Astyanax mexicanus: one gene and its partner. Each later gene encodes a partner of the first gene's protein in a complex. Links are inferred from orthologs where the notes say so. Each region holds a gene or a part of one and is shown in the gene's direction. Other genes may lie near its edges.

Region 1 (10,805 bases):
GAGGTGAGAGCCTTCCAAATGTTCTTACTGACACCAGATGTTTTGTGTCCTTTTTAACAGGCAAACTGAAGCCCATTATCAAGTCACAGCCTGTTCCAAAGAACAAGGGACCTGTGAAGGTGATTGTTGGCAAAACGTTTGATGAAATAGTGCTGGATAAAAAGAAGGACGTCCTCATTGAGTTCTACGCACCGTGGTGTGGTCACTGTAAGAAATTGGAGCCTGATTACCTCGCTCTTGCAAAGAAATATAAGAATGAGAAGAATCTTGTGATCGCCAAAATGGACGCTACTGCCAACGATGTGCCCCACGACAGCTATAAAGTTGAGGGATTCCCCACTATATACTTTGCTCCCAGCAACAACAAGCAGAATCCCATCAAATTTGAAGGTGGTGAAAGGAATGTTGAGGGCTTTAGCAAATTCATCGAGGAACATGCAACAAAATTATTACAAACAAGAGATGAACTCTAGAGGGTTTTTGGAGAAACCATGAACTTTAACACATTCCGATGCAGGAAGTATTCTGATACGCAGACTGTGGCAGTCTGGAGTAATTTTGTTGTAACCAGTGTTCCTGAATGCAGAATCCTTCTTTTTTTCATTCCAAAGTTCGCACTGTTTATTAGGTTTCTTTCAAAATCTTTTTAAATAAAAGTGTAAATTGGAAAAATGTTTGTTTCCTACTCTCGGTTCAATTATATTGTTTTACTTAGAAATAGAAATAAGCCGTAAGACTTATCGTTCTGGTTCATGTGGTGGAAACCTTATCTTCAGGGATTAGCATCAAACAATATGTTATTTTAACCTTTTATTAATTTGACTGATCAAAACCAGGAAAATTTGGTTTCCCTCCAATATCCTGTCCATGTATAGTAATAGTTATTGTTATTTATGGTCTCAGATATAGTTGATCAGCCCATATGGGTTTGGTATTTGATGTGAGCTTCCTTATAAAAGGCCAATATTGTTAAAGGTTTTGTATAGAATGGCACTAATCACACTTCAGTCTTACTGTGCATCAACAATTATACCACAGTTCTATTATTGCTGTTTATTGAAATGTTTTGAGTTAAAGAGGATGAGAAAATATGTTACATGGAGACCCTCGGTCACATTGCATTACAGACTAAAAACTGCACTCATAGAACGCCTCTCAGCCAATCCCATTGCAGGGTCAGAACTAACTGGTTTAATAGTTACTAATAATTGTCATGCCAAACATTTTGGTAAATATACATTGGAAAATATTGTTTGCTATACAAACCCTTTAAAAGCTATGCAAGTAAGCTACCAAAGGTATTTTGTAGGTTAATAAAATGATTTACCAAAAAAAAAGCACTAATAGACCAAGTAAATGTTTAAACTGGAACAGTTATTCAATGGCTGTCTGTCTCAGCTGTTCAGCTCACCAGAGAACTTAATTTTGTAAAGTAAGTCATAGCCTGTTCAAACCACATCAGTTTGTCTTCATCAAATAAATAAAGCTGTGGATGTGTTTTTTAAATAGGGTAAGAATGAGCATCTACCCTTTATGAGCATATAAACAGCTTCACCGTGCTGGTTGACCAGCATCACCAAGCATTACTAAAATAAAATGCAACATACACTATGCTGTTCAAGAGCAGGTTAACCAGCTAGCTCGCCACATAGTGCATGTTTTCACCTTGGTGATCTGCTTTTCAACCACATTGACCATTGAGGGAGAGATTAGACCTTCTGAAACCAGCTACCACCACAAGCTGGATTTTTCAACTGGGTATAATTTATGGGAAAAGTGGACTTTTAATTAGTAACAAAAGCTTTAGTGTATTAAGGGTGGGGACTCTATGTACAGGCCACTTCATAAGTGCAAAATTAGACTCCTGTTTTGCACTTCTTCTAACTGATAATATTATTGGAAATACCTACATAGTACTACTTTAATAGATACAGTGATGTTTCTGTAAGGTTGATATTTGGTCCCACACATAATTTCCAGTACTATACAGAGAAGCGGCTTTCTGGAAAGAGACCAACCATTGATGAAGGACTAGAGGACAGCTAACTTCCAACTGCATAAATCGATGGGCTACAGTCTGCAAGGGAGTGTAATGGCCATGTACGTCAACACATGCCAATTTATTGGTCTAAGCTCTACATGGTCAAAATACGGCCATTCAGGCAAAACATACCCTATACTAATAAGCATGCTGGTTTACCAGAATAGCAATTTGAACTAAATCTTCCACAATAGGTGTCTATAGAATAGAATACAACCCCTGGCAAAAAGTATGGAATCACCAGTCTTGGATGAGCACTCCTTCAGACATTTCATTCTGTAAAACAAACTCTGATCAAAAACATGATACAATAATAAGGTCATTCCAAAGTGCAACTTGTTGGCTTTCAGTAACACTCAAAGAAATGAAGAAAAAACATTGTGGAAGTCAGTGAATGTTACTTTTATTGACCAACCACAGGGAAAAAAATATGGAATCACTCAATTCTGAGGAAAAAAGTATGGAATCACTCAAATTGAAGGTAGAAAATAAGGACACACCCAGTCAATTTCCTTTCCCTAAATGGACACCTGCCTCAGATTAGATCTGCTCGTTAGTCTGCAGTTAAAAACACCTGCAGTCATGACACCTTGGAGGGCTGCTGGACGAATTAGAGTGGCAAGAACCATGGCTCCAACAAGAGAAATGTCTCTTGAAACAAAAGAGAGGATTGTGAAACTTCTTGAAGAAGGTAACTCTTCACGCATGGTTGCTAAAGATGTGGGCTGTTCACAGTCAGCTGTATCCAAGATATGGACCAAATACAAACAGCATGGAATGGTTGTTAAAGCCAAGCGTACTGGTAGACCGAGAAAGACATCAAAGCGTCAAGACAAGCAACTTAAGGCCATTTGTCTTGAAAACCGAAAAAGTACAACTAAACAGATGAAGCATAAATGGGAAGAAGCTGGAGCCAATGTATGTGACCGAACCGTAAGAAATCGCCTAAAGGAAATGGGATTTCAATACAGGAAAGCTAAAAGAAAACCATCATTGACACCTAAACATAAAAGAACAAGACTGCAGTGGGCTAAGGAGAGGCAATCATGGACTGTGGATGACTGGATGAAAGTTATCTTCAGTGATGAGTCAAGAATCTGCATTGGACAAGGTGATGATGTTGGAACTTTTGTTTGGTGCCGTTCCAGTGAGCTTTATGAAGAGGCCTGCCTGAAGAAAACAACCAAATTTCCACAGTCCTTGATGATATGGGGCTGCATATCAGGCAAAGGCACTGGGGAGATGACTGTGGTTAATTCTTCTATCAATGCACAAGTTTACATTGACATTTTGGACAGTTTTCTCATCCCTTCAATTGAACAGATGTTTGGAGATAATGAAATAATTTTCCAAGATGACAATGCATCGTGCCATAGGGCAAAAACAGTGAAGGCATTCCTTGGAGAAAGACACATTCAGTCGATGTCATGGCCTGCAAATAGTCCAGATCTCAACCCAATTGAAAACCTGTGGTGGAAATTGAAAAAAATGGTCCACAAGAAGGCTCCGACCTGCAAAGCTGATCTGGCAACTGCTATCAAAGAGAGTTGGCACCAAATTGATGCAGAATACTGTTTGTCACTCATCAAGTCCATGCCTCAGAGACTGAAAGCCGTTATAAAAGCCAAAGGTGGTGCAACTAAATACTAGTGATGTATTTTGAATCATCTTTTGTTTATCTGTTTTTCATGATTCCATACTTTTTTCCTCAGAGTTGAGTGATTCCATATTTTTTTCCCTGTGGTTGGTCAATAAAAGTAACATTCACTGACTTCCACAATGTTTTTTCTTCATTTCTTTGAGTGTTCCTGAAAGCCAACAAGTTGCACTTTGGAATGACCTTATTATTGTATCATGTTTTTGATCAGAGTTCGTTTTACAGAATGAAATGTCTGAAGGAGTGCTCATCCAAGACTGGTGATTCCATACTTTTTGCCAGGGGTTGTAGAATAGAATTCTGTAAAAGAACTTGCTTAGGTTGTACAATTTTTAATAAAGGGATTATTGTGCTGTATATTTTACTAAATACAGAAGATTGTATAATTTGTGCAACTGCATATGAGATTACTGGTCTTTGTAAAGTAAATCCACAGCTAACCAGTGAATTTAGAATATACATATAAATTACCACCACGTGCTTTCGCAGGTTTGATGTGGAAGTTTTGAAAGCTGACAGCTCGGTCAGGCGGGACAGGCACATTTTGCATTGCATGTGGACGTCATTGCCTCGTTATTCCACGCACGAGCATACGCGCCAATGTTTTTTTTTAATTCAGGCGATTGTTTTTTTTTCCCAGCATTTTATTTTTACTCAGTAACGGGGAGTTTCCCACTATAGCAAAGTAAATTACTTGTGTCAAAATGAACTTAAGTAAAAGTAAAATTACCTATTTTAAAAACTACTTTAAAAATGACAAATTACTCATAAAATCTACTCAATTACAGTAACGTGAGTAAATGTAATTTGTTACTTTCCACCTCTGGTCATGTGACATCACGTTCAGTAGCTCCTCCATTTCCACTCGCTGTTGTGTTTATGTGGTTCTCTGTGGAAACGCACACCCAAAGGCATAGCAGGACCAAGGAGTTCAGCAGAAAACACTAGGTAATTCAGCCTGTAATTTTCTTATAGGACGTCTGAGAAAAACACATACATGGTACCCCAGGACCCCCTGAGAAACTAATCCTTTTAAGATATGGCTCTAGTGAATGAACCCCCCCCCCCCCCCCCTATCCCCCAAGCGGTAGAAAAGGGCTTCCATTCTCAGCTATGTTGATTACACTTATAAAAGCTGTATTTAAATATTTATTACAGATTTATTGACTTGTTGCTCTTAAATGATTTGACTACATCTCTGATTAACCATATAGTTTTTTAAATATACCTTAAGCAATTAAATTTGAACTGGATCTTCCACAATTAAGCCAAAAACACACTAAAAGGGGAGAGGAAAGGCTGCAGTTGGCCAGGACTCGTAATTGTGGGTTACCACAGTGGGGAATAACGGTTCTGTGGGGAGAAGGCTGGATGGTTTTCCCTCCTAAACAAAGCTGATAATCCCCATAAAATGGCTTTATGGAACTCTGACGTATCACAACGTATCAGGTGGGCGTGGCTTGGCGAACCGGCTGACCCAAGTTCAGTGGGTCCAGTAGAAATATTTGGGGATAAAAAAAATTGACCTTGTGTTTATATTGATACTATACAAACAACAGAAGTGCAGACTTAAGTTTAGAATCACAATAAAGCTGAAGCACCAACTAACATAACCTACATGCTTATCTGTTTAAAAAAGAGAGAAAAAAACAGTGTATGCACGGCAAAGGCAACGTGCATAATTATATATAAAACTAATATACTATCGTTTCTATTCTATAGTATAATGAAATACTATAATCATTATAATAATGCACTATAATTTGTGGATGATATAAGCGATATATCGGCATTACAGTAATCATGCGCTGCGACAGGCAGCTCCAGGCCCCTCGTGCTGCAGGTGGAGGATGAGAAGAACAGATCTGAAGCAGATCTCTCGCTTTGAAGCTGTAAAAAGTGAGTGTTTGTTAAAAATGAAGAACAAAGAGAGTTTCTCCACATGTTCCCCACTTCGGGCCCCGCCGCACAACCGCTTGCTATTGGACGCGGCGCGCGTTCGTGCTGGCCAATGAGCGCCCGCGTCTGTGGGGAGCTTGAGTGCGGCTGCCCGCGATTGGCTGCGGGGTTTGGCGGTCGGCGGTTGTGCAGTAGGCGGAGAGAGGAGCGCGGAGAGCGGGCAGAGTTAGAGCGGGAATACCGGCGATTATTGAACACAAAGCGGAGCTGGGTGAAGCAGAGAGCGGCTCCAACCGCGAGTCTTAGGTGTGAGGAGATCAGACTGGAGCGGAGGAGGCGGGAAGAAGCGACCAGGCTCTGTTTGAAGCCCGAGTTCGTTCACCGGTGTCGGAAAAAGGAGAGAAAGAAAGAAAGAAAGCGCCTCCCTCCCTCTGTTCAGTGAGAGCTGTTAGCGGGGTTAGCACTAGCCTTAGCTTAGCTTTAGCTTTTCTCTGCTCTGCTCCAGGCTGCTCCGCTTTTCTGACCGAAAACAAACAGAGAAAAATCACTGTGTTTAATGTGGACTGGACTCCTGCAGGTAGGTCATCACAACACACAGCACCGGTCACTAAACACGCTGTTCTCGAGCTGTCTGTGGGCTGTGTGGAGGCTAAGCTAACGACAAGTGTTGAAGAGGAGCTGGTGAAGAACTCTCTTATATACATACAGCTCTGGAAAAAAAATGAGACCACTTCAGTTTCTGAATCAGTTTCTCTGATTTTACTACTTATAGGTGTATGTTTGAGTAAAATGAGCATTGTTGTTTTATTCTATAATCTGATGTGAATTACTCCCAAATTCCACATAAAAAGATTGTCATTTAGAGCATTTATTAAAACTTTATGAATATGAACTTATCTTTGTATTATTTGAGGTCTGAAAGCTCTGTATCGTTTTTGTTATTTCAGCCATTTCTCATTTTCTGTAAGTAAAAGAGAGAAATCAATATTTGGTAGGATAACCCTGGTTTTCATTCACAGTTTTCATGCATCTTGGCTTGTTCTCCTCTACTACTTTATGCCACACCTGGTGCAAAAAGTCGAGCAGTTCAGCTTGTGATCATCCATCTTCTTCTTAATTATATTCCAGAGGTTTTCAATTTGGTACAATCAAAGAAACTAATAATTTTCAAGTGGTCTCTTATTTTTTTCCCCAGAGCTGTATATCCATAGTTAAGTTACTGAATTCACGTGTTTATATTTATAAAGTACGGTTATGATTCAGAGTAAATGATGCTTATTTAGCCCTGGTTAGCTTTATATATTATTATCTAGTGATCTAAACCTAGTTAGAAAATAAAACTGAAAGAAATGACACAGACAACTTGATTGATTTTTTTATTTTGGCTGGTTATTGATCCCTGTTTATAAGTGACAGCAGTCATCTCCACTGAGAGAGTTCTTCTATTCATATAGCAAGTAACATTTATTTATCGGACTGTGTAAAATATTGTGTTCATAAATACAATACAAAATATAGCTAGCTAACACTTGCTTCTCACTCTTGAAACACACATCATTAATTATGGACAAATAATACAAATCTAGGCTTCACATATGTTGCTGATAAAAAAAACAGATTTTATTTTCGGTTAATTCTAGCTAATGTTTTTATGATCTGTACAATTATTCATATATGCTGTTTCTTGATGAATATATTATTTTGCTATAAAAAAAAGTTTTAAAAGACTAGTTTTTATTCAAAGTAACACATGATGCCTTTGAAGTAAAAACAAGGAATAAATATAAACTTAATTCTGTCCAAAGGTTAAAGGCCACATTAGAATGTAAAGAAAATATGAGCCATGTGTTTATCTCAAGTATTGCTTACATCCCAGTTTTTAGTTATCAGAAAATTGCATGGATAGATCTTATGGAGAATATTAGTGTATTTATTTTGCTTTATTTGGGATGTATATTCATATACATGTCCTATAGCTAGGTTAAGTTTGTCCTTCTGTTTCTTACATTTTCCTTTCTCTAAGCTTTTAATGTAGCTAGCTAATTATGTATTGAGCATGTTTTGTTTTATGACTTAACTTACTGAATTCAGTGTTCATGGTTATATTTGCTGAGAAACAAAACAAAAAACTGTAAACTGACAGTGTATAAAGAAAGTGGTTTAAAAATAAGACTGACAGAATTGTCCAGACTGCAGCAGATGATTTGTCCTGTGTTTAGTTGTTTCTTTGGACAGTATACAGGACAACACGCAGAGCATCAGAACACAAATATATGAATCATTGATGAGCAGCTACGGTGTTTCTTGTTTTTTTATGATCTAGGTCTGTTTGTTTTGATAAATGAGAGCTGTTTTGTTCTTGTGTAATTTTCTTATTAATGATATTTAACATTTATTTGGTTTATTCTTAAGACCGCCATGTTGTTGTTTCTTTTGTAATGCTGTTAATGTTTTTTTTTGTTTTGTTTTTTTCCTCTTCTCTTTTTACTTGAATGCAGCAGAAGATGCAGGATAGGATATCAGAGGAGGGAAAATGAATTAATTTGATTTGATCTTGTGACAAATCGATCCTTAAAAAGCACACACTCACACTGTGTGATTTAATTATGTTAGCTTTGTGCCTCTTCCTGTGGGGTAATACAGTGTGTGAGTAGTTTTAGCAATACAGCCCACTTTTATCTTCTCTGGTGTTTCCGCTATGCATATTTGAACTGCTGATTTTAGTCTTAAAAGAACTGCAGAATGAGCTGTGATACAAACCAAAGGTCATGTTCACAGCAGACTGTTCCTCTTATTATTACTCATTTATCTTTATTTGTTCTTATTCAGTCTTTTCAACAACGTTTGTTCATCATATACAAGTGCAGTTACAGTGAATGTTAATTTAAGATTGTACACAGAGTAAGAAGCACTGCCAGTTCTGGCACCCAGCTCATCCTGTTTGTCTGACTCAGTGGTTTTTATTCAGCACTTATGTTAGACTTGCAGATGGCTATTTCTATTTTTGCTGCAACATTTTTCTCTGCTCGTACATGTTCAGATGGAAAGCCTGGACGAACTTGCCCACAAAGCTGTACTTGTGAATTTGTCAGTGTTACTTAACGCCTAGTCAGCGTCTGTCGCATCTACTTTCAACAGGGACAGAGTTGTTCAATATGGTAGATGAAGACATCTATACCAGCGCAGTTCAAGAACATGTGCTTTAGCTTAGTTCTTCATGACTAATTAAGCTTAGTTAGGTTTGGATTATAACTAGCAATTCTGGGCTTTTTTGGAGAGGTTTGGGGATGATTAAATGAGCACAGTGAGACAGGAGCACTGCTGGTTTTAACAATATTAACATTCAGTGTAATATTTAAGGCTTCACCTTAAAAACACACTTTGGTTGAATACTAAACAGGAACTTTCTTCAACACTATGTAAATTTGATAACCTATGTTTGTCAGTGATTTCAGAGAAAAGGCAATCGTAAAACTACAAGTAAAAATATTCAGTACTTTGGCACCAGAAGACCAATTCCTAGTAATGGTACATTTTTCTATCAATTTATACAGTTCCAACTTAAACTGCTTGAGACAGATCGCTTGTCAATATTTGGTCATGTATACATTTAATAGTTATAGGATGGGTATAATTCTAAAACACTGGTTAGCTGCAGTGTTTAAGACATTTCAGTTTGGGTCATTTCCACAATTCATTAATGGTTTACTGAATAACTGAGCGCATACTGACTTAAACTGGTCTGGCAATGTTGGGTTATATGAATTCCTGTCATTCAGAAAAAGCTGTCTAATTTGATCTCCAGAAGATCTAAAAGTTTAGATCAGTAAGTTTTTATTGCTGGTAGAATTTGTCCATGCTTTTTCATCAACGTTTAAAACCTTAAAAAACAATAGTGATTTTATATCACTGTGATGTTCTTTAATATAGTATTATAAAAACCATGAACTACAAATTTCTGTATTGAAAACAGTGTCTCTGTTCGTCACTAATCAAATATGAATGCTGTATGTTCTCATAGGGAAACCATGGGCTTGACTGGGAAGAAAATGGAGAAAGGCCCAGTGTGCTGGAGGAAGAGAGTGAAGTCTGTGTACATGAGGCTACGACAGCTGAAACGCTTCAGGAGAGCTGATGAGGTGAAGGTAAGCATGAAGGACAAAACATACTGATTATACAGCCAAAACACTCATCAGCAACATCCACACCTATTCTTTTGTGCAGTTATCAATTCAGTGAGTCTTGCAACAGCAGTGAAATACAATAAAATCATGTTGTACCTGACCGTCAGCTTCAGATAATGTTCAAATTAGCCATCATAATTTTACTAAAGCCTCTAGAGATTACCTAGAATAGTTTAATAACTACCATACAGCCGTAGCTGAAGACCACAGTGGGTTTCAACTGGGGCTGCAGTGGGGACAGGCTCACCAAAACTGCAGTTTAAGAAAAAAGCATGGTCAAATGAATATCAATTTCTGCCGAGGCACACAGATGGTAGGGTTAGAATTTGGCACTGACTGTGTAAATCCGTGGACCCAACCTGCCTTGTGTCAACAGTCCAGGCTCAAGCTGTTTTTCTGGAAATGTCAGTGAGTTTAGTGTTCTTCAGTGACCTTCCCTGATCTGAACCCAGTTAAATGCCATTGGGATGTGGTAGATAAAGAGATTTTCAGCATGGATTTACTCCTGAAAAATCTGCAGGGATTTTGTTTACACTTGTTTCAACATGGACTAGAATCTTAAAGGACTGTTTCACACATCTTGTGGAATTTAGGTAGATGCCAGTCGTAAAGCAGTTGTTGATGTCTGTCATCAGTGTAGACTGCAATCTTTCACATTTTCAACCTCTTTAACCACATGATGCAACTTTTAAGGTGATTGAATAGTTTAATCTGTGTGTTTATATACCACTCTCCACCTGCTCGCACTACCTCACTACATGCTTATTAATGCAGTGCAATTCTATTATGTTACAGGGAAGAGCTGTTGTGATAGAATAAGTTTAGGTTAATATATATTTCGTATTATTAGTATAACAATAGATAATATTGTATTGTTTTTTGTGATGTTGGTTAATGTGTGCGTTGACTGCTTGCATATTATTGAAGCAGAATGTGTGTTATTTTCTACAGAGCATGTTCAACTCCAACAGACAGAAGATATTGGAGCGCACTGATATTCTGAATCAGGAATGGAAATTGCGGC
Region 2 (10,847 bases), on another chromosome or scaffold:
TTTTACCATATCAGTGCAGGATTTAGAGTGTGTGTGAGTGAGAGAGAGAAAGAAAGGGTGAGAGATTTATCAGTTCATCCTCACGCTTAGTTTTATAAACACTCAATTCAGATCCAGTTAGTTACCGTTTTTTTCTTTTAATTACAGTTTTTTTTTCACTTAGTTTTCACATAGTTTTTGTTATTCCGTATTCATAGTGCCCCCTAGTGGTCACAAATGCAGTCTTCCATTCATTGCCTTCTTTGATGTGCATTAAGTTATATGCACTTCGAGTTTGGTGAACCACTGTGCATTTTGTAGTTTTTCTAGTACTGAATTAAGGGTAATGGGGAGGGTTTTTTTTTTAACAGGGATAGCATTAAGATCCTGGTAGTCTATACATGGGCGAAGACCACCATCTTTTTTCTCAACAAAAAAGGACCCAGCAGCACATGGTTGCTCAGACAGCCTTCTATCGCATGTGGTGGTAAACGAGTGGCATGTACTTTACAAAACCTCCATGATGTCATGATAGCAGTTAGGGACAGAAAAAGTGCCAAGCATATTAGGGCTCTCTACGGTAGTGCCTAGGCATGGTATGGACAAACAATGACTTTAATAGTAGTCACTCCTTTTTAGAATTTTACTGAATTTTAAATTAGTTTCAAATGCTGAGCCAACCAACTGAAACACAAAATTAAAAGGTGATCAGGGGATTCAATAATAGCCAACCTGAACAGAAAGTTCCTTTGCCTAAAGGTTGTTAATCCTGGGCTGCAAGGACTAAAACAGAAAACTTGTCTGAGTGCAAGGAAATCCGTACAGAAATTGATATTTGTTTCCTGCACCTACTTTGCTTCTCCTCAGGAGTGAGGCGGGCTCTACCAATCTGCATTGGCTCCGGTTCGCTGAGGGGGGTGAGGCTTGGGTGGCTGAAGAGAGGTCTGAAATCCGTTGTAAGCTTCCGTTTTTCCGTGCAGAAAGTTGCCCTGGGAAATAGCCACGTTCAGGGTCATCTCTTGTTCTCTAAAACCATGCTCCGTCTGCACGTCCTCCCGCAATCCCCTCTATAACACGTTTTTTTCAGAGCTGGTTCAGTCCTTCCACTATCTGCGGCAAGAGTGTGGAAGTCAAGGGTGTAACTTGTTGCAGAATAGGTGCCTTGTTTAAGCTCACACATTTGCAAACCCAGCTCTTTACCGGCTGCAGGGTGTGGTCAAACACAGCTTTAAACTGAGCAAAAAACAAAGCTTTAGAGCGTAAATGTCACTGTTGGCCGACCATAGGGCAGTAGCCCATTCCTTAGCTTTACACGTAAGCAGTGTTGTGATTACCTTTTAGCGTGTATTGCAATAAAAAGTTGCATGCACCAGGAGAGCCATCATAGTGTTTGGGAACGGCGATAAAGTTGGAGGAGGATGGTTTAGCTGTTAGTACAACATCAGCTGTTTGTACAGCAGCCTGTTCTGGTACACTGCAGCTGGTTCCACTACATGCTGTGGCAAACTCTAAACAAGCTGGGCCAACACCTCCAGTTTTTGCATTCTAATGAATATATTTTTAAATAATATAGGACAACAATGCAAAAAAAAGAGAAAACTCCTCTTCAGTTTTTTCTTATTTTGTTGAGGTCTGGGGACTGAGATGGCCAAGAGCTTGATGTTGTGCCTTGTGAACCATTTTTGAGTAGAATTGGCCACATGTTTAGGGTCATTATCTTGTTGAAAGACCCAGTGACGACCCATCTTCAGCTTTTGGGCAGAGGACACCAGATTCTGATTCAAAATATCCTGATACTTTATGATCTCATGTATCCTTACAAGGTCCCCAGGTCCTTTAGAGGAGGAACAGGCCCACAGCATCACCCGTCCTCCCCCATACTTAACAGTGGACATAAAGTGTTTTCCTGCATAATCAACCTTAGTGTTACTCCAGACCCATTTTGAGTGTTTGTTACCAGAAAGCGCTATCTTGGTTTCATCTGACCAAAGCAGACTGTACCAGTTAAAATCCCACTATAGCTTGGTAAACAACAGCTTGTTTTACGCTTATGATTATAACTCAAAAAGGCTTTCTCTGTGCTGCTTCCCTTCCAAACAGCTTGTTGGCATGTAAAAGGCGCCTGATGGTTGTTTGGAAGACCTCTTAACACTACATGCTACCATTTGATTCAATTCTCTTACAGTGAATGTGGATCAGGGCATCTGCAGATGAGTGGCTATTTTCTTGTAGCCATTGACTGCTTTATGAAGGTCAACACACATCTATACACTTGAATGTTATGTTCTCATGTCTTTCCCATGTTTCAGATGAGTAGGAGAAATAGACCTTTTTGTAATACTGTATTTACACCCCAGGGAAACACAAAGTGATTATTTACCAATTAAAGGTTCCTACACACTTTGATTCACTTTATAAACTACAGTAGAAATGACATAATTTGTTTAAATACATTTCATTCCAAAAAATTGTTATGGGATGCCAATAATTGTGTCACAGGTTTTTTTTTTATTCACTTGAGTTAAAGGTTGCTTTTTTATTTTTTCCGTGAGATTATGCTTTTGCAATAAAAATGACATTTATTTTAAGGCTTTTAACACATTTTAACTAGGTATGCTAATAATTATGGAGGGCGCTGTAAAGTGAACTTTTCCCAGTAGCTCATTGCCTCATCATGGCTGGGCTGATCTTCAGGATTTTCTAACATGCTTTTACCTATCTAGGGGTATTTATAACAAATAAGTTTGACAAACTGATTAAATACAACTTATTCAAACTTTTTTACATACTAAACAAGACCTGAACATTGGACATTACTACCCCTATGATTAGCAGGGTGCATCAATGTAATGAAAATGAATATACTCCTTAGATTTCTATATATTTTACAATGCATCACAATTTTTAATTACTAAATCTTATTTTATTAACCTTGACAATACTATTTACAAATTTGTTTAAAATAAGAAGGTCCTGAGGCTTCGGAAGTCAACTCTACAAAAACCTAAACTCTTAGGGGGTATGGCACTGGCCAACATTATTTTTTACTATTGGGCTGCTAATTTTCAACTTACTGTTTATTGGTTGCATTTAGATAAGCTAGCCTCTGTGTCTGCCTGGTTATACCATGAATCTGCTTCCCTAGCTCCCACCTCATTAGCTTTTTTTCTAATTTTCTTAGTACAGCCACATAAACCAAGTTGCAATAATATTATTGTCAGGTCTACAGTTCAGGCGTCATTTTGGTATACAGTCGCTCCCACTATTAACTCCACTTTGTGCGAACCCACTATTTCCTCACTCGCTGCAAGATAGAGTCTTTAAGATTTGGCAGGACCACAGATATATTTAACTGCAATTTCTAATCCAAACAAGCAACAATTTATAAAGGAAAATCACAAAAATGATCAGGGGTGCCCAATTTAAATTTTGTAGCGTTTCTGACGCTTTAGCGAGGCAGCTTATTCTGTTACATTTGAAGAAAAAAAAAAACATACCCCCCTTCCTACACACACTGGGTAAAAGATGCACTACACTTTATAAAACTAGAAAAAATTAACCACACCCTAAAAGGATAGTGAATAGGGTCCCTTTTTAAAACATTTAGATGTTTTGGAACATTATCCTTCTTTAAGAATTAAATTATTTCCACTGTAAAATGGAAATGATAGTCATGGGACGCTGCACATCTTGGTAGAAACATACCCTGATAAACAGCATTAATCATACAGGTCAACCATCCTGGTTATACTGACAGACAAGCTAGACCATGAAACTCAATTTACATTATGTGCTGTGCTAGTCAAGAGATACACAAGCAGACATTATTTGAGTTATTGGCGTAGCTGGTCTGTGAGTATGACCAAGGTGGTTAGCAAGTATGATTAGTATGATATACTGGCACAACTAAATAAAAAACAACCATCTATTTCTCTAATTAAACACACTAACGCTAATACCACTGGTCTCAGCTACACTGGTGAAGTGTGCTACAGTGTTTAAAGCTTGGTTGTGTAGTAACACTGTCCTGCCTGTTTTAGTAGTTTTTTGCTGTATCACACCAAGCTCAACTGCTACGTGAACACAGTTCACAAAATACAATCTGTATTTAAAAACAAGACTGTGATTATCTTACATTGATTATTATATTTCCCTTTATTAAAAGTTTCAGTGTTAAGAAGGAGAAATCAAAATCAGATTATAAGATTAATTTCAGCAAACTGCGATTAATTAGTTAATTTTAATCGTTTGATATTCATGACACAAACACACTATAGATCTGTAACGATCTGTATCACTTATGTCATTTTCAGCTGGATTTAACTTCTCGCTTTACATTTTGGCCAGTCAATTTAAATTGCAGAAATAAAATATAGGCTCGTTTCTTTGTTTTTTGGTTTAAACACATGAAAAAAAATAGGAATTCAGTCCTACTTTATGTTTCTGCTTTATGTCTACAAAACGAACATATGGTTAATTATTTTGATCGCGAATCATGGGCGGGCTTTAAGCACTCTTCATACCCCATTGGTCAGCCTGAGTGATCACGTGCTCTCTCGTTGTTCGGGAAAAAAAGTCCCAGTAAAATCTCGGGCAGGAGAAGTAATACACGCGAAGCAATATATCTCATATTTTCTCCAAATCCAGTCAAATAAATTTAGGTTGTAGACTCTGACTGAGGACTGTATATGTACTCCACAATCTGAGGAAAAGCTAAGTTTACATGCACGCTGATAGTAATCCGGTCTAAACAGACGAGCAATAGTATCACAAAGTGTACACCGTGACAACGAGTATTACAGCTCTGTGTGGAGTGTTTGTTCTTTTGGTTGCACGAGCCAGACACCAGTCTTATCGCTGATGACACAAAATATATATATATACAAGTGCTGTAAGATGAGAGTCATACCATTAATACCAGTACAATAAGTTACAGGTAACAAGTGAAACACGCATTAATTCGACCGAATTGGAGAAAATATCAGATATATTGCTGCACGTATGTTACTCCTGCCGCCCGAGAGTTTTACTGGGACTTTTACCTATACAACGCTTCTGAGAGCACGTGATCACTCATACTGACCAATGAGGTAGGAAGAGCGCTTTAAGCCCGCCCATGATTCGCCATCAAAATAATGAACCATATGTTAGTTTTGAAGACATAGGGGAAAGTCGGACTGAACTACAGTTTCTGTTTTAGTGTGTTTACAACAAACAAAAAACGATGAAACGAGTCTTTTGTCACTTCTTCTATTTTCTATTTAGTTCAAGAATCAACCTATCAAAATGTACACGGACTGCGGCAAGTATTTTATTAGTTCGTATTCCAATTTTATACGTAAAATCAGTGATCGGATAATTTATTTTTTTCATTTCTGAAACGGATGTTAACCTAATGGTTAAAACTACACATGCCCGTTTTCCCATAACAGGCCCGTTCTGTTTGAAGTAGTCCAAACACGTGGAGTCAGTAAGAGCGACGTCATCTCTTGGCCCCGCCCCGCACGTCCCTGCTCAACCTCTCTCTCGGGCTGTGTGCTCGTAGCTTTGCTGAGGAGAACAAATGCTCACGGTTTGACTCGCTCGGCTCTTCTCAAACTTACTTAGACGCCCCCAAGATACTTCCCACCGTCGAGGATGGCTTCCGCCGCGACCACCGACGCCAACGAACAAGACTCCGCCAAAGCCGGCGATCAGAACGGCGAGGAGAGCGGCGAGGGCCTGCTGCGCGCTCCCGATCAGGAACCGGGTGAGGGCGAGAGCGTTAAAATGGACGAGAACTGCGAGCTCGACGGAGCGACAGGCAAAGAAGAAGCCCTGGCCGAGGCTAGCGAGTCCGCGGAGAGCCCGTCGAGCGGTGAGGCTGAAGCGGAGGAGCTGAAGAAATGCCCCGAGCAGAAGAGCTCAGAGAGCGGGGAGAACTCGGCGGCCGTGCCGGGGGAGCTAAAGCAAGAACAAAGAGAGGAGGAGAGCGTGTCCTCGCCGGCCGAGTGCCCCAGCAGTAAAGGTGAAGAGTGTCCGGACAAAACCGGCAGCGGGATAAAGAGGAGAGCCAGCGTGGAGATGTCCTCCTCCTCCGATGGAGAACCCCTGAGCCGGATGGACTCTGAGGACAGGTTAGTAACTCTATTATCGAGGATCATGAACAGAGTGCCTGAGGTACAACAGCAGAGTCCGCCTACTGCCTCCACCTACAGCTGCAGCTACAGCCCCACTGCCCGTAACTGTGGAAAAACAATGCGTGCTGGTACAGCTATGTGTGCTGCAGTGATAATATAAGACCTGTTATACTGTTATAAACAGACCTAGGGGCTTCATTACGTCTCTACTCTTTTATCGTAAAATCACAGCAGCAGCACTCAGTCAGAACTCAATTTATATGAGTAAAATCTCAAATGATAGATCTCACTAATGCAGTTTTATCACTAATTTTAATTTCAGAATTAGAATATCAGATATACAGATCTATACATCCCTTCGGACTCGTCATATTTCCATATCCCTAATGTAATTCTGTCTATTATTCTCATGGAATTAAATCACGGGTGGTACGTGTAGTCCTATATAACTATACTGTAACTGTGTGTAGTAAACAGTCCAGCTCCACACATTTTTAAACTTCTACAGTTGGAGTTTTTACAAGTAATGATACGGTTACTGATATTACAGTGAATTACTGTGTTGGCCTGTCATAATTATGATAATTAGTTGATTAGATTTATCGTACAGTATATGGACATGGCCTAATTTAGAATATCTAAACATATTAAGATTTACAATTGTACATGTTCTAAAAAATTACAGTCTGGATATCTATAATTATAATGAGATTTGTTGAATATTCTCATTTTTGCTCACATGGGTGTAATGTGGTCTGGATTCATCATTGCACTTCACCTTAATCCCATGGCCCTAAATTGTCCTTAGCTATGTAGTGTATAACCCAGATGGGACCTAGTTAAAACCCCTTTTGGTCACATCACTGGCCCGTCGTAATGAACACTGGTATTGTTCAGAAATGCCCAGTGGAACGGTAACCTTTGTAATATAGCAAATACACAGTTCAGTTTTTGATCCATTGGCTTCCACTGAATTTAGATTAAAACAAGAATAAATACGTAAAAATTCATCAGGTGTTTTTAGCTCTTGATCTCTTTAATTGTTTTTGTCTACGTTTGTGCACTTTACTAATAGTATCCAACATATGTCATTTGTCACATCAGTATACTTTAATAACACATTTTGATATCTATAAAGATAAGACTTTATACATTATTCTCACATGTCTTACCTTTAGGAAAGTTTTGAACACAAGATACATGAACAAACCATTACTCATGAAACTTCTTTAACTTCACAAGCTTCTCATGCAACGCTCTATTCAGAAAGTACTGTGCTCCTAAACATTTAACATCATACTGTCTCTTAGGCCCCACATTAGACCTTTGTCCTAGTGCATATAATGTTTAAGCTCAACTGACAATATTGTGTTTTAGTACCTTGTGATAGTGTTTTGCATTTCATACAATATGAAAGTTTGTATATATAAATGTTTGACTGTAATTTGATAAAGGTATACGTTCCTCCAGAGGTAGAGGTAGAAATTGAGAAAGCTCTTGATAGAAGGTATCCTTGTACAACAGTACGAGAGTTTGCCAGAGAACACCTAGTCCAAAAATATGCTTTGGACAGATGACTTTTGCCTTGTTTCTTTTTTTAACATAACTGTAAACCTTAAAGCTTCTCTAATATGTTTATGAGCATATAAGCAATCTCTATATTAATCAATGCACTATATATGAAAAAGGGGATGATCTCATAATCATAGCTTTTAATTAATTAATTTTTTTATTAGGCTGACAGTAACAAAGCAATTAAAAATGTACCCTCATAAGAATGCTTCCATGGTCTTTAGTCATGGTCTGCTTAGACATTTAATAAACAAGTTTTGCCCTAATTTCTAAATGAAATATTTGTATCTGAAATTGGCTTAAATGCATTTAATGTACAATTGTATTTCTGACCATTTTCATTGGCTTCAGTTTCAGCATAATATCAACATAGCATACTGTATAGCATAATTCTTCTCATTTTACATCAGATTTAACAGCTCCTGTTAAGCAGCGCAGCTGACTGAAAATCCCCTTGTACTCAGCAGTAGCCTTTGAAGGTGTTAGCAATAATACTAATTGTTTATTAATTTTTGATTTTTGAAAACAAATTAATAGTGCTGGTTAGAAAGGGTAAGTTCCTTTTATCATTTTCTATTATGATAAATATGTAGAATTATTGCCCAGCCTTAGGTATAATTATGTAACTGTGCTGCTGTCATCAGTGGATGTTTTTAAACTATAAATAGTATATAGTATATAATTATCAAATTACCCAGTGTTGACCTTTTTGGTCACCTGAGAAAGTGCTCCACATATATAGATGAGACCTTTTGTTGGCTTGCATGTGTGATAGTATCGGTAAGCAGGCACCTTGCAGAAAGAGTGAGGGAACACGAAGAGGAGCTGTGCTTATTGTTTAACAGATGCCATATTTGGTCTCCTGGGGACATTTTGTTAACACGCATGCCCCAGCCCAACCCCATAACGAAAGCAATGAGTAAAATATTCTGTTTTGGCTGTTGAATGTGTCTTTAAGTAATTGATGCATTTAAATGGCTAAAACATTGCCCAAATGCATCTTAGATCACCTTCTGCAGTGGTACCTGCATTCCCTCCACTGGCTTACTGTTGCCGCCCGCATCCGATTCAAAACCCTAACCCTGGCCTACAAGGCAAAAAACAGACCAGCTCCTTCATATCTGATGGCAATGGTCAAAGCCAGATCTGCACCAAGAGCTCTTAGAGTTTCCAGTATGGCTGGGCTCAAACCTCCATCCCTCAAAACCCACAAAAAAACAAACATTCAGACTCTTTTCTGTGCTAGCACCAAGGTGGTGGAATGAACTTCCACTGGTTGTCAGAACAGCAGAGTGACTCGCGCTCTTCAAGCGTTGACTGAAGACTCGTCTTTTTAAAGAGTTCCTAAACTAATAATAATAAAAAAAGGTTCCTAGGGTTCTAACATGATCAAGCTTTGTGTATCTCTTGATCCTAGCCTACAAACTAGCTTTGGATATTTGAAGTAACATCGAAGCACTGTTGTAAGTCGCTCTGTATAAGGGCATCTGCTAAATACCTTAAATGTAAATGTACCTAGTTCCAGATCATACCTACCATATTTGCTTAATGTTAAATCAGAAAAATCAGACGTGTCAAGTAGTGTATATACTAGAATGGAAAATTAGCAACTGCCATTGACCAAATGTAGGTAAATTTAACGAAGTGAGGGTTAAGATTGATTAAGCCACAATCCACAGCGGCGGGTTAGCAATTTAGACAGGAGAGACAGAGAGCATTCAGTGTATCAATAGTTTAATGTAAGAATTTATGGAAGACACACATGCGAGAGGTTATTTTTAGAAGATTCTAGGCTACTCAAATATGTCATAAAAAACACAAAAATCAGTAATACGGCTATGCACTGCACAATTATTAAACCCAAATAGACCAACAACAGAAACATCATTTATAAAGACTTTCTAGTACTCTAATATAGTTATAAGAATAAGAATATAAAACACTTTCTGAACAAACATTTTTGTTTATTTTAAGCATATATGTTATATAGTATATTTCCTCAGTGCTAAAGCACAAAAACATATAACAAATGAGGCTATGCACTACACACACAGCGCTGCGAGTCAAGTGCGTGATGCCGCAATGTGGAGGAGCTCACGTGTACTTTGCGCAGGCCAGAGCTTATAATATTTCTAACTTATGCAACCTTTTTTAAAAAACAAAGTTACATGATTTGTTACTTTACTATACTGTGATTATCCCGCCATAGCTTTATATAAAATAAAAAAAAAGAATTTAAAAATAGATGCCAATGTCACAGACCATTTTCTTCAGCCTGACCCAGCCTGGGGAAAGTGGTGGGGAATCTCGACCTGACCCCACCCGAATTCGGGCAGAGAATCTAAACTCTGGGACAGCGCTACACTGAGGAACCCTGAGTGCTCCGGTAAGCCAGGGCACTTTCAGCTAGCGGTTTGTCCCTCAAAGCTTGTTTTAACACAGTAAACACAGGCTACAGTCTGAACTGAACTGAAACTCCTTTATAACACTGAGCTTCAGCTGTTTAAATAATGGAACAGCGGTAGAAGTCACATACTTATGGCATGGACGATAATGCGCTTAGTATTGGCAATAGCTTAAATTATTTTGATATTCTATATCTGTTGTCTGCCCAAGGCTACTAACTCCTTGCCAAAAATAGCAGAAATCTAAATCAAAACCATTTTACAGAAAACTGTTGAAAACTGAGATAAAACCTAAAGGTGTAGACACATTTAGTCACTAGAAAATTTGAACTTGTATCATCTATTTGAGGTGTGTTCAGATAGACAATCAGCAAGAGGTAGCCTCTATTATTATCGTAACCCGTGTGCTTGGGCTTAGCCTGCAGCATTGTCTCTTATGGATGTGGGCAGTGAAGTTTGAAAAGAAATCAACAGATGGAAGCTTTTGGAGTGTGTGTGTGTGTCTGTGTGTGTGTGTCTGTGTGTGTGTGTCTGTGTGTGTGTGTCTGTGTGTGTGTGTCTGTGTGTGTGTGTCTGTGTGTGTGTGTCTGTGTGTGTGTGTGTGTGTGTGTGTGTGTGTGCGCGCGCGCGTGCGTGCGCGAATGACAATCAAGCCCCCTGATGGCCTATTCACCCATTCAGTTGCTTTCACGGTACTTTGTCTTCGTAAGAGGCCATGAGCCATATTCCCCTTTACTGGGGCAATACAAAGCTGCACACGTGCCACAGAGGG

Evidence for each region. The genes of interacting proteins can lie anywhere in the genome.
Region 2: the proteins of ezh2 (region 1) and aebp2 are in contact, whole or in part, in a cryo-EM structure (PDB 8VMI), measured with the Homo sapiens proteins. The link is inferred for Astyanax mexicanus from reciprocal best matches to the Homo sapiens genes EZH2 and AEBP2. Residues at the interface, in NP_001190176.1 of Homo sapiens: Ser76, Leu77, Arg78, Gly79, Thr80, Thr100, Asn102, Ala103, Val104, Ala105, Ser619, Asp620, Val621, Ala622, Ile739, Glu742, Met743, Glu744, Ile745, Pro746; in NP_001107648.1 of Homo sapiens: Lys382, Leu383, Lys384, Asn385, Arg387, Arg388, Ser390, Leu391, Pro392, His395, Asp399, Ala400, Gln401, Asp404, Ala405, Arg407, His408, Ile411, Cys412, Leu415.

What each region holds. Positions count from the first base shown.
Region 1 is NC_064408.1:92,429,680-92,440,484, forward strand, and holds the start of ezh2 (histone-lysine N-methyltransferase EZH2), read left to right. Parts: upstream 1-5,761; 5' UTR 5,762-6,174; intron 6,175-9,618; 5' UTR 9,619-9,625; coding exon 9,626-9,742; intron 9,743-10,732; coding exon 10,733-10,805. Other genes in the region: pdia4 (protein disulfide-isomerase A4), read left to right, coding at 61-473. UniProt on the Homo sapiens protein: Polycomb group (PcG) protein. Catalytic subunit of the PRC2/EED-EZH2 complex, which methylates 'Lys-9' (H3K9me) and 'Lys-27' (H3K27me) of histone H3, leading to transcriptional repression of the affected target gene.
Region 2 is NC_064409.1:30,151,315-30,162,161, reverse strand, and holds the start of aebp2 (zinc finger protein AEBP2), read left to right. Parts: upstream 1-5,460; 5' UTR 5,461-5,616; coding exon 5,617-6,095; intron 6,096-10,847. UniProt on the Homo sapiens protein: Acts as an accessory subunit for the core Polycomb repressive complex 2 (PRC2), which mediates histone H3K27 (H3K27me3) trimethylation on chromatin leading to transcriptional repression of the affected target gene.